3 linked regions of the Saccharomyces cerevisiae S288C genome follow. The gene in region 1 interacts genetically with each later gene. Each region holds a gene or a part of one and is shown on either strand. Other genes may lie near its edges.

Region 1 (4,532 bases):
TCTATCACACTTTGTTTTTGACTTCCTACAAGCCTGGCAGACAAACAATATTCTATTTCTTTTCCTATTATGTGTTTCGGAGTTCTCGGGGGCAGGCGATGTGCTTGAGTGCTCAGCTTCTAATCCAGGCGTTGGGTTATTGAACCCTAAGAAAAACGCCTCCGAATATGGCTTGGTAGAGCTATTATCATCATTTCCGGCATGTGGGGCCTTCTGCGTACTATTTTCGACCATGACTTACGCAACCTAATCTATTATTAACCTGCTTCTAACACAAAATAGCCAACAGTAAATCCCTTCTGGAGGATCTGTTTCCTTCTCTACACGTCAAAAAAGATGTCAGAAAAAAGCGGCAATTGCGTACATTTAAGGAAGCAGAGCCAAAGCGAATTTCACATTTAAGGTTTTTATCGCTGAAATATGTGTGGTGTTGGGATGTAATGGAGATAATACACCTTTTTGAGCGGTTTTCTATGAAATATAATGTAGGATATCCTTGCCCTTAAATATTTATATAATAAGTTGTTACATGTGAGTATATATTGGATTACAAATATGGGTTGTTGTTGCGGGCGTTTTCGTTGCTGCCGTTGTTGTTAAAATGCGAATATGATTTATTGGAATTCCCCAGGTAGAGACTTGATTCAGGCTTCATTAAACTGGAGGTGCTTGTATTATTCGGCGCTAGATTAGTACGAGAAGCAGATGACGCACGTTGGTACTGTGGAGACAAGAAGCTGCCACCCGTACCCATGACAGCGGAGGTTGGTTGCACAGGTTGCTCCGTTACTTCCGAGGCATCGAAGGGAGAGGAATTTTGCTTAAAAGAGGATGAACTAGTCTCATCATCAAAGAGTCTTGCTGTATTTGTGTTTGCATTCAGGTTCTTGCCGAAAGTGTCGTCACGGAACATTTTTTCTTCCTCATTTTCATTGGTGTCCATAACAGCTTTTCTCAATTCAAACAGTTCAGAATCATTTTTGTTTTTGCCATCGAAATCATTTTGAATCTTAGGAATGAATGACACACGGTCATCTTTCATTGGTTGGTAACGGACATCTGGGTTTCTGTGTAGTAATGCCAGTGTACAGGTGACAATAGTGAACAATAATAGGAATAGAGCAAACACCGCGTTCAAAACGAACAGAATAACCGCCATCACTGACGAAACCACTGCTGGTTGCTTGAACAAATTACTGAAAAACAAAAAGAAAAATGCATTGATCAAATTCACCAAATGAATAGCAATATTGAAAACATTAGTTCTCTTGTCCAAATATGGTCTTATCCAACAGAGACAAACGAAGTAAGCTAGTTCAATGACAAAGATGATCATTGCTTGAGCCTTACCTTGGTTTTGTAAAACGGCAACAAACAGGGATCTTAAGAACGCATAACTTAATAAGGGTAAAAGCCACCAAAACTTATCTGCTTTGAATTGAACGTATAAGAACCCAAACTTGTTCAAGAAGTAGGTATCACTGTAAAGTAGGTACGCAGGATTCTTGTATAATCTGAGAGACTCTCTTCCCTTGATGAAAACCCTTATAGTTCCATAAACCAGAAGTCCCGTGATGATCAGTAATATTACTACCGCATCAACAACAATCGCTGGAGAGTTGACCTGAGTAAATTCCCAAATCGCCAGAAGAGAAACTTGAGGGAAGGCGATGATAGATAATCTGAAAAGGGTGCCTTTGATAATACTCCCCCAGTTCTTCCTATATTGGAAGAAATTGGAAGTCTCTTTCAATATTCTTGCTCTTGTAAGAACTTCCAATAGCGCCTTAAAGAAAATCAAAGAGACGACAACTACAAATAGGAAGAATAGAAAAAACACAATACCGGTCAAAAAGAAATTAGATAGCTCAATATTAGCCAAATAAGCAACTCTTTCTATACCTCTTAACACGAGAATCTTGGCTGAGTAATTGCTTGGATCCTTCTCAGAAGTGGTGTACAGATTCGAATCGTCTAAAATGGTGTCAAAATTGTAATCACTAGACGATGCCATAGAGATAGCACGTTTTTGCACACTAATGGACAAGACGTCCTTGTTAGCTACCACAACATTTGAGACACCATTAGTGGCCTGTACGTACCAATCAAAAATCTTTTGCATGAAGTTTGTATTGATGATACCCATGGACCATTGGAAATTCTGCGTCCACGCGGCAGCAATGGGTGGAACCCTTGAGACACCCATCATTGCAGTGATAGCTAGATTTTGGAAGTATATGAACAATGAGATGGAGTTGGACGCAATGTGAGCAGCAGTGGCTGAGTAACCGATCACAGACACAAACCCTGAGGTAAGTACACCGACACCTGAGATAGCGGCAATGGGCCAGGCCGCATACTTTGTTTGCACTGTCTTCCCGTTACTCAAGATAGCCTGGACACAAGCCAGCGGAGTTTCGAATTCCGTGTCATTCTGAGCGTATGCCACCACACGTACTTGTGCGTCCAAATCTGGAATGGTGTAAGCAATGCCGGGAAATTGCTTGGTAATGGATGATTCGATCACCTGTGTGGACATGACATCAATACGCCCAGCACTTAGGGGGCAAAGCGATACTTGGCCCAAGGAACATAAATCAAAAGTCTTATCCAGGACTTTCAGTCCGTAAGTAAGCAGCTCAGCCTTCACAGTGACGTTCCCATTAAGCGTCGTCGTAGCGTCAATATCAAAGATAACAGTATTATTATCGGGGTAAAATTTCACATCAAAGAATGATGCCGTTAATTGCGAATTGTCCATACACGTCAATAAAGAAGTGGTCTGCAAATGCTTTGCAGACGCCGGAGTAGTGTCGTTTGTGTCAGAGGAACGTGCTGTACCGCTGCACAGTACGAAACACGTTAAAAGGCACCTTGCGAAGGTGTTTAGGAAGATCATGGCTATATAATCTTTTTATCACGTCAATATAATCGTAATGAAACAGAAATGAATGTATTATAATACACTGAAACACGGTATAGCGCAGCAAATTGTTTTAGTTTAAGGGGTATAAATGTTTTCCAAGGGTGGTGTTCTATATATATATGCCATTCATATACTTTTAATAATGTTCTATACGTATTCCCGTGAAGGCATTAATGATTATCTTTTTCTTTAAAAATGCAAGATGGCTGAGTAGTCGCGCGAAAAAAAAAAAAAAAAGAAACAGCAAGGTTAATTTTAGAATACCAACAGGAAAAAAGAAAAGATTATCCTCCCAGAAAAACAATCTGTTTATTACCCGACATTCTTAAAAAAACAAAAGCAAATCACATGTGCACATACGTCCAGAATGATATCAAGATAAATGGCACGTGTATGTACGGCTGTGTAAATATGATAATCATCTCGGACGAACGGCGTAGCACTCTCCATCCCCTAAAAATGTTCACGTGTGACTGCTCCATTTCGCCGGATGTCGAGATGACCCCCCCCCCTCAAAAGGCACTCACCTGTTGACATGCCGTGGCAAATGATTGGGGTCATCCTTTTTTTCTGTTATCTCTAAGATCCAAAGAAAAGTAAAAAAAAAAGGTTGGGGTACGAATTGCCGCCGAGCCTCCGATGCCATTATTCAATGGGTATTGCAGTTGGGGTACAGTTCCTCGGTGGCAAATAGTTCTCCCTTCATTTTGTATATAAACTGGGCGGCTATTCTAAGCATATTTCTCCCTTAGGTTATCTGGTAGTACGTTATATCTTGTTCTTATATTTTCTATCTATAAGCAAAACCAAACATATCAAAACTACTAGAAAGACATTGCCCACTGTGCTATGTCGCCCTCTGCCGTACAATCATCAAAACTAGAAGAACAGTCAAGTGAAATTGACAAGTTGAAAGCAAAAATGTCCCAGTCTGCCGCCACTGCGCAGCAGAAGAAGGAACATGAGTATGAACATTTGACTTCGGTCAAGATCGTGCCACAACGGCCCATCTCAGATAGACTGCAGCCCGCAATTGCTACCCACTATTCTCCACACTTGGACGGGTTGCAGGACTATCAGCGCTTGCACAAGGAGTCTATTGAAGACCCTGCTAAGTTCTTCGGTTCTAAAGCTACCCAATTTTTAAACTGGTCTAAGCCATTCGATAAGGTGTTCATCCCAGACCCTAAAACGGGCAGGCCCTCCTTCCAGAACAATGCATGGTTCCTCAACGGCCAATTAAACGCCTGTTACAACTGTGTTGACAGACATGCCTTGAAGACTCCTAACAAGAAAGCCATTATTTTCGAAGGTGACGAGCCTGGCCAAGGCTATTCCATTACCTACAAGGAACTACTTGAAGAAGTTTGTCAAGTGGCACAAGTGCTGACTTACTCTATGGGCGTTCGCAAGGGCGATACTGTTGCCGTGTACATGCCTATGGTCCCAGAAGCAATCATAACCTTGTTGGCCATTTCCCGTATCGGTGCCATTCACTCCGTAGTCTTTGCCGGGTTTTCTTCCAACTCCTTGAGAGATCGTATCAACGATGGGGACTCTAAAGTTGTCATCACTACAGATGAATCCAACAGAGGTGGTAAAGTCA
Region 2 (3,224 bases), on another chromosome or scaffold:
ACCTGGTTTCTTTGTAGAGTGCCGCAAAACAGGTATACCTGTCTTATCTTCCAAAAGTTTTGCTTGCGAATAGTCCTTATCAGAATTGGAACCGGCGGTATTGCTAACAATCAAGAGTGCTTTGTTAGAGTATTTCGACCTTAAGGTTTCCCAGTGTTGCAAGTAATCTGGCCATATTTTGTCATCATGAGGGAAGGCGATGCAGTTGTCCTTATCCAAGACCACGGCCTTTATAGAATCGTGGATTGGTATAGGAAGATCGTTAAAAGTGGGGACAACTAGACTAGGCTTACACAGTGATGGGTTATAAAGCAACCGGAGCGTATTTAAGGTGCCACTGATGTTCATGACTAGGTAGAGGAGACGATGTAATGTAACTGCCGCCTTTCAGTTTGGCCCCATATATATATATATATAAACAGACGGATAATTATATCATATTAAATGCGATAGCATAAATTTCTCGATGCGCATTGGTAAATTGTAGCATGGCGCGAAGTCTCTCATGGATAATTTTGCAAAGAATCGATGTATATAACGAACCATAATCAAGATACTTGCTGGGATGGCTTTTTCTGGATCTCTTGCACTTTTTTGAGCAGTTGTGGTGACGTCTGTTTCACGTTGTCCTTTTTATTAGTAATCTTCTCATCTACAATAGTTTTTTTTGTGAAAAAAAACTGAATAAGAATATACCCAACCAAAATTGTGAAAATCAGCTGTAATAAACCTCTGTTATTCTCAATTAATTGTGAATCAAATATTGAGACATACTCCGAAGGTGGCTCTGAAAATCGTGGAGTATAGTCATTAAACGACAGACGAGGCACATCCAAAACTCTATTATTTTGTTCCACTTCACCCACTCTGGATTTTATGTCAAAGATATCTGGAAATATTTGGATAGGGATGATCGACTCGTGAGCCAGCGTAGTTCCTGGGTTTAACGAGGTGTAAATGACATTTTGTTCTGGCGACGGAATCTGCGCCAGTATAGTCCTCAAATACTTGTCATAATGGCGGAATGCTTCTTTACGTTCATTAGTGTCCTCTGGTAACTTAGGGTACTCTATTATAATCACTCTTTTTTCGCTATCAATAAAGGGCTGGAAATCTTCTGTATTATTACCTCGTAAGTTCAACACCTGGTCTACGTTACAATACTCCTTTACAAACTCTGCAAGATCATAGTATAAATCTTGAGGCAATAGGTCTACCTTTTCGAACTTAATCGCGGTTGAACTCCGTCTTATATATCTCTGTAACGAAACAAACTCTGTTTCAAATTCCAAGAAGTCCAATTTCCTCAGGCCTGGTTGATTAATAAACACATAAGTGTCAGCATTACATACACCTAAGAATTTCTCAGCCGCTTCAATAAAGGTGTCTCTTGGTAAAGTCACAGCCCTATCATAATCCTCTTGATACTTTAAAATACCGGGAGTTCTATCCAAAAGTACAAATATGTGTATAACATCTAGTTAGTAAGAAAAATGAAAGTTACTAAAGATTAATGTTTCTTGTTCTACATACAGTTTGTAAGAGAAGAATATTGCAGGAACATTGGTCTGGTTTTGCAATTCCTCCGAAGCACAAAAGCTTCCACACATAATAAGCAACAAATATTTCAACACAGTTTGCATCTTGCCTTGCTACTCCTAATTAGTATGCGCCTACGTTTCCTAACTACAAAACAGATAGGTATAACCTGCAACTTAACCTCCGCTGCTGATATTCTTGGCCGTAGTTAAGAGAGGTTTACATTACTACAGAGCTAACCCGTGTTGCATGATATCATCGATATAATTAAAGAATGCACATATGTCAGCGGTACTATCGCATACAATGCTCTATCAGAACTCTAGATAACGTTAGAACATATCCTCCCAGGTTTCGCCACATCTGTGGCCTCGTTACTCTATTCGTTTCACTCTTTCTTATCTATTTACAGCCCATCGAGCAACATTATCATGCCACACGTCGATCTCAGGCCGATCTGACAATCTTTAAAGGCATCAACAAGAGCAGCAGCTTGCCGACGTGGCAAAAGTCAAAGAAGAACAGAGGCAACTCGTCCTACGTGAAGCCACATACAACAAGTTAGGAACTATTAGGCGGAACCGCTTTCTAAGGAGCTTACTACTTTTAACAGTACTACTTTTAACAGTACACAGATAAAGAAACAAAAAGTATAAATTTGGGCGCCATCGACTGGCAAGCAAAACACGTATAGAGAACAGGCAGTAATGACGACGAAGCCACAAAATAGTAAGCAGGGTTTAGCCGAAGGAGAGATGGATGTGAGTTCACTTTTCAAGAGAACGGAAGTTATTGGGCGAGGGAAATTTGGTGTGGTTTATAAGGGCTATAACGTGAAGACTGGACGAGTGTATGCTATCAAAGTCTTAAATTTAGATTCTGATTCTGACGAGGTGGAGGATGTGCAGCGAGAAATTCAGTTTTTGGCCTCCTTGAAACAGATTTCCAATATCACGCGGTATTATGGGTCGTATTTGAAAGACACAAGCCTTTGGATCATAATGGAACACTGCGCTGGTGGTTCACTGCGTTCGTTGTTAAGGCCAGGCAAAATCGATGAAAAGTACATTGGGGTTATTATGAGAGAACTGCTTGTAGCATTAAAATGCATTCATAAAGATAACGTCATTCATCGAGATATCAAAGCAGCAAACGTTCTGATCACTAACGAAGGTAATGTTAAACTATGCGATTTTGGTGTCGCTGCACAAGTAAACCAAACTTCTTTACGACGTCAAACTATGGCTGGGACCCCCTACTGGATGGCTCCAGAAGTGATCATGGAAGGCGTTTATTACGACACTAAAGTAGATATATGGTCTTTAGGTATTACAACGTACGAGATTGCCACCGGAAATCCGCCATACTGCGATGTGGAGGCCCTAAGGGCAATGCAACTAATCATCAAATCGAAACCACCGAGGCTTGAGGACAGATCATACAGTACATCTTTGAAAGAATTTATTGCGCTTTGTCTTGATGAGGATCCAAAGGAGAGATTGTCAGCAGACGATCTTTTAAAATCAAAATTTATCAGGGCCCACAAGGCGACGCCAACGTCCATTTTGAAAGAACTAATATCACGATATCTACTATTTAGGGACAAGAATAAAAACAAATATAAAATAGAGGGCAGTATACCGGAAAATGAGCCATCAAAACCCAGTGAAGCTCCAAAACCATCA
Region 3 (3,763 bases), on another chromosome or scaffold:
GACGAAATCCAACTCAGAGCAGGGCAAGAACAAGTTTATATTGCGTACGAATTCTAACGGACTAATACATAGGGGTCACAACTGGGTATTCAAAGTAGACTCTTATGACGATATGATAGAATGGTTTGGAAATATCAAAGCCTTATCAAGTTTGCCCAACTATGACGACAAATGCAAATATGTGAGTAAAGTTGCCAAACTGTCTAAAGAAAAAGCCAAGAGTAATGAAAACACCACGGAGAGCGTGACCCCCCAGGTAACTAATGAGCAACATACGAGATACGATGATGTGAGTAGTAGCAATTTTCCCTTGAATTCCATTCCAAAATTAGACAATTTGACAATCACTAACACCACGTCATCGATACCGGAAACGAATGATTCACAAATTCAGAATAGGGTTCCTGAATTTTACATTGAAAATGTAGATTCCCCTAGAAAAAGCAATCAGCTGTGACAAGTAAGTTAATTATATAGTAATGCTCTAGTTTGTATGTAATATTATGTATAAGTTTTCTCATAAACAAGGCTTCTATTTTCAAAAAACATCAGCCCCTTTCCTCCTCTTCTAATAATTTACAAATAGGATTCAGTACAAAGTTTTCCCAATCTTTATCAAACTTCAAATCAGAGAATTTATACAATGAATACTGCTGGTTTCTTGCGCCCATCACCCTTAGGCAGTCATAGTCCAGTTTCGTAATTTGTAAGAAAAGGTCGGACAAATTAGGGTATCTCAGAGGATCTTTGGTTGTGTTATAATCAGGATCACTCGGCTCTTTAAAGAAAAATCCAGTAGTTTCACCATCATCTTCGAGTTTTGCAAAATATTTCTTTTGTAACTCCCATTGTGGTGGAGCTTTTCCGATATTCCCGTTGGCATCCCATGGAGTAACTATATCTAACAATGGGCCCGCCGAGGCATGAACTATGGGGATCAAACCGGAAGCCATATACTCTACAACTGCAATTCCAAAGTGCTCATTCCACATGGCATTAACACCGAAAGTAGATTTGTTTAGTAATATTTCAATCTTATCGAAGGGCAGATTTTTTTCGAATGATATCAAATGTTTAGGAATTTTTAATACATTTTCTGACCAGTCTTGTAAACTTTTAACATAATTTTCATCTTGCTTGGATCTAGTGGACCCCGCCATTATCAATTTAATTGGCGATACAGAATCCGGTAAATTTTTCAAGAAAGTTGCAAAGGACTCAATGATTAACTTATGACGTTTCTCAGGACGAAATTGTGCCAACACAATTGCTTGATTTAATCTCTCACCCTTTGCAGTACCAAACTTTTGCTTCCAATCTACTAATTTCTCAGTAGAGCATGGAGGATATATAATTTTACACGTATTGGATTGCCAAATTTGCTTTATGTGGTTATTTGTCCATGTTGAGTTTGTGATTACAATATCAATTTTAGAACCAATGGATTGATAAATTAACATAAAAACTTTCCAGTATAATATTTTACCGTAAACTTTGATACCCTTCTTGGGCATTTTGAACAGCTTATTTAACATGTCTTTTGACATTATCGGATAATGCGTATATGTGACGATAGGAATTCTCCTCAAAAACCTAGCAATAATAGGATAGCTGAAAGGGTACCCCATTGTATCAATCCATATATCAGGTGGACACTGAATAATGGATTCAAATGCGAGAATCATTGATCCAATTGCTTGTCCAATCAACGTGAAATGCTTCCATGTTGAAGAATCCACCAAGTATCTTAGCTTCAATGAAATGAAAAATATTCTATCCGAATCCAAGTCGTAATCGAACTTCGCTTTCACATTATTTAGAATATTCTCCGGAGTAACATTCTCTCCATTCACAAAATCCCCTGAATAAATGACAATAACGTTCTTAGCATCTTTTCTCAAAGTGATATCTACAGCTTTCCAGAGCACTTTTTCCCCACCACCACCAGCATTACAATACGGATGAAAAAAACCAAAAACTTTCACATTCTTCTCACCACAGGAGGCAACTGCTCTGTTCAGTAATGAAGATTTTTTGGAGAACGGATTCAAGCTGGAATACACCCATTGACGGAAGATCCACGTGAGAACCTTAATTAGTCCATACACTAGTACTAAAGATGATACAACATATTTTTTGAACCCAAAATGAGACTTAACCTCTTCAAAATTGTAGTTTGTCCAAGCACTGCCCATTTTCGCCTGCAATCACCTGAACATGTTGGTCACACTTGGATACTAACATCTATCTTCACTTCACTTACCTCTCAATCTTATTATTTATTGAACTTTTCACTTTTTGTTTAGCTTACCCGAAGGACATAGATGTAGCGATGACAACGATGAATGATACGTCAGTTAAAAGGGTCTTCGTCGAACTCTTCATCTAACCCTTCATTTGCAGTGTGCTTGGTTGATGAACCTTCTTCCATTAATGATCGACAGCTGCAGTGAATAATGTCTCATCATAAGAAGAGGGTGTACCCTCAAGCTCAGGTGCCATACATTGCAAGTATGCCAATAGTTGCAGAGCAACAGCAGTCTCAACAACAAATCGACCAAACAGCTTATGCAATGGGCAACCTACAATTGAACAATAGGGCTAACTCATTTACACAGCTAGCTCAAAATCAACAGTTTCCTGGTTCTGGGAAAGTGGTCAATCAACTATACCCTGTGGATTTGTTTACAGAATTACCTCCGCCAATCCGTGACCTGTCTTTACCACCTCTTCCAATCACCATTTCTCAGGATAACATTGTGACTCCATCCGAATATTCAAATGTTCCATACCAGTACGTCAGATCTACTTTGAAAGCGGTGCCAAAAACAAACTCTCTGCTGAAGAAAACGAAGTTACCATTTGCCATTGTTATTAGACCATATTTGCATTTGCAAGATTCAGACAACCAAGTACCGCTAAATACTGACGGAGTCATTGTCCGCTGTCGCCGTTGTCGTTCATATATGAACCCTTTTGTCGTTTTCATTAACCAAGGGAGAAAATGGCAATGTAATATATGCCGTTTCAAAAATGATGTCCCATTTGGGTTTGATCAGAACTTACAAGGCGCTCCAATCAACAGATATGAAAGAAACGAAATTAAAAACTCTGTCGTGGATTACTTGGCTCCCGTAGAATATTCTGTTAGGGAACCCCCACCATCTGTTTATGTATTTCTTTTAGATGTTTCTCAAAACGCTGTCAAAAATGGTTTATTGGCTACTTCTGCCAGAACCATTTTAGAAAACATAGAATTTCTACCAAATCATGATGGAAGGACCAGAATTGCTATTATATGTGTTGATCATAGCCTTCATTATTTTTACGTTCCTTTGGATGATGATTATGAAGTATCGGATGAGGATGATGAAGAATCAGATGGTGAAGAAGAAGATGAAGACGAGGAAGAGGAAGACGTTGATAATTCAGAAACAATTCAAATGTTTGATATTGGCGATTTGGATGAACCATTTTTACCAATGCCGAGTGATGAATTAGTAGTTCCACTAAAATATTGTAAAAATAATCTGGAAACATTGTTGAAAAAGATACCTGAAATTTTTCAAGACACACACAGTAGCAAGTTTGCACTTGGACCTGCCCTAAAAGCTGCGTCAAATTTGATAAAAAGCACTGGAGGCAAAGTTGAAGTCATTTCATCAACTTTACCAAATACTGGCATCGGGAAATTGAAAAAAAGAAGTGAACAGGGCATATTAAACACACCAAAAGAAAGCTCTCAGCTACTGTCGTGTAAAGA

The links. A genetic interaction does not mean that the proteins touch.
Region 2: mutations in FLC2 (region 1) and BIG1 together harm fitness more than expected from each alone (negative genetic interaction), as found in Saccharomyces cerevisiae (2 studies listed by BioGRID).
Region 3: of FLC2 (region 1) and ALG11, changing one suppresses a phenotype caused by changing the other (phenotypic suppression), as found in Saccharomyces cerevisiae (one study listed by BioGRID).

The regions. Positions count from the first base shown.
Region 1 is NC_001133.9:44,266-48,797, reverse strand, and holds FLC2 (flavin adenine dinucleotide transporter FLC2), read right to left. Parts: upstream 2,900-4,532; coding exon 548-2,899; downstream 1-547. Other genes in the region: oleate-activated transcription factor OAF1, read right to left, coding at 1-234; ACS1 (acetate--CoA ligase 1), read left to right, coding at 3,776-4,532. UniProt on the Saccharomyces cerevisiae protein: May be responsible for the transport of FAD into the endoplasmic reticulum lumen, where it is required for oxidative protein folding.
Region 2 is NC_001140.6:314,326-317,549, forward strand, and holds BIG1 (Big1p), read right to left. Parts: upstream 1,644-3,224; coding exon 1,534-1,643; intron 1,447-1,533; coding exon 549-1,446; downstream 1-548. Other genes in the region: GEP4 (phosphatidylglycerophosphatase), read right to left, coding at 1-348; putative serine/threonine protein kinase KIC1, read left to right, coding at 2,247-3,224. UniProt on the Saccharomyces cerevisiae protein: Required for normal beta-1,6-glucan synthesis.
Region 3 is NC_001146.8:536,605-540,367, reverse strand, and holds ALG11 (alpha-1,2-mannosyltransferase ALG11), read right to left. Parts: upstream 2,196-3,763; coding exon 549-2,195; downstream 1-548. Other genes in the region: SLM2 (phosphatidylinositol 4,5-bisphosphate-binding protein), read left to right, coding at 1-457; COPII subunit SFB2, read left to right, coding at 2,457-3,763.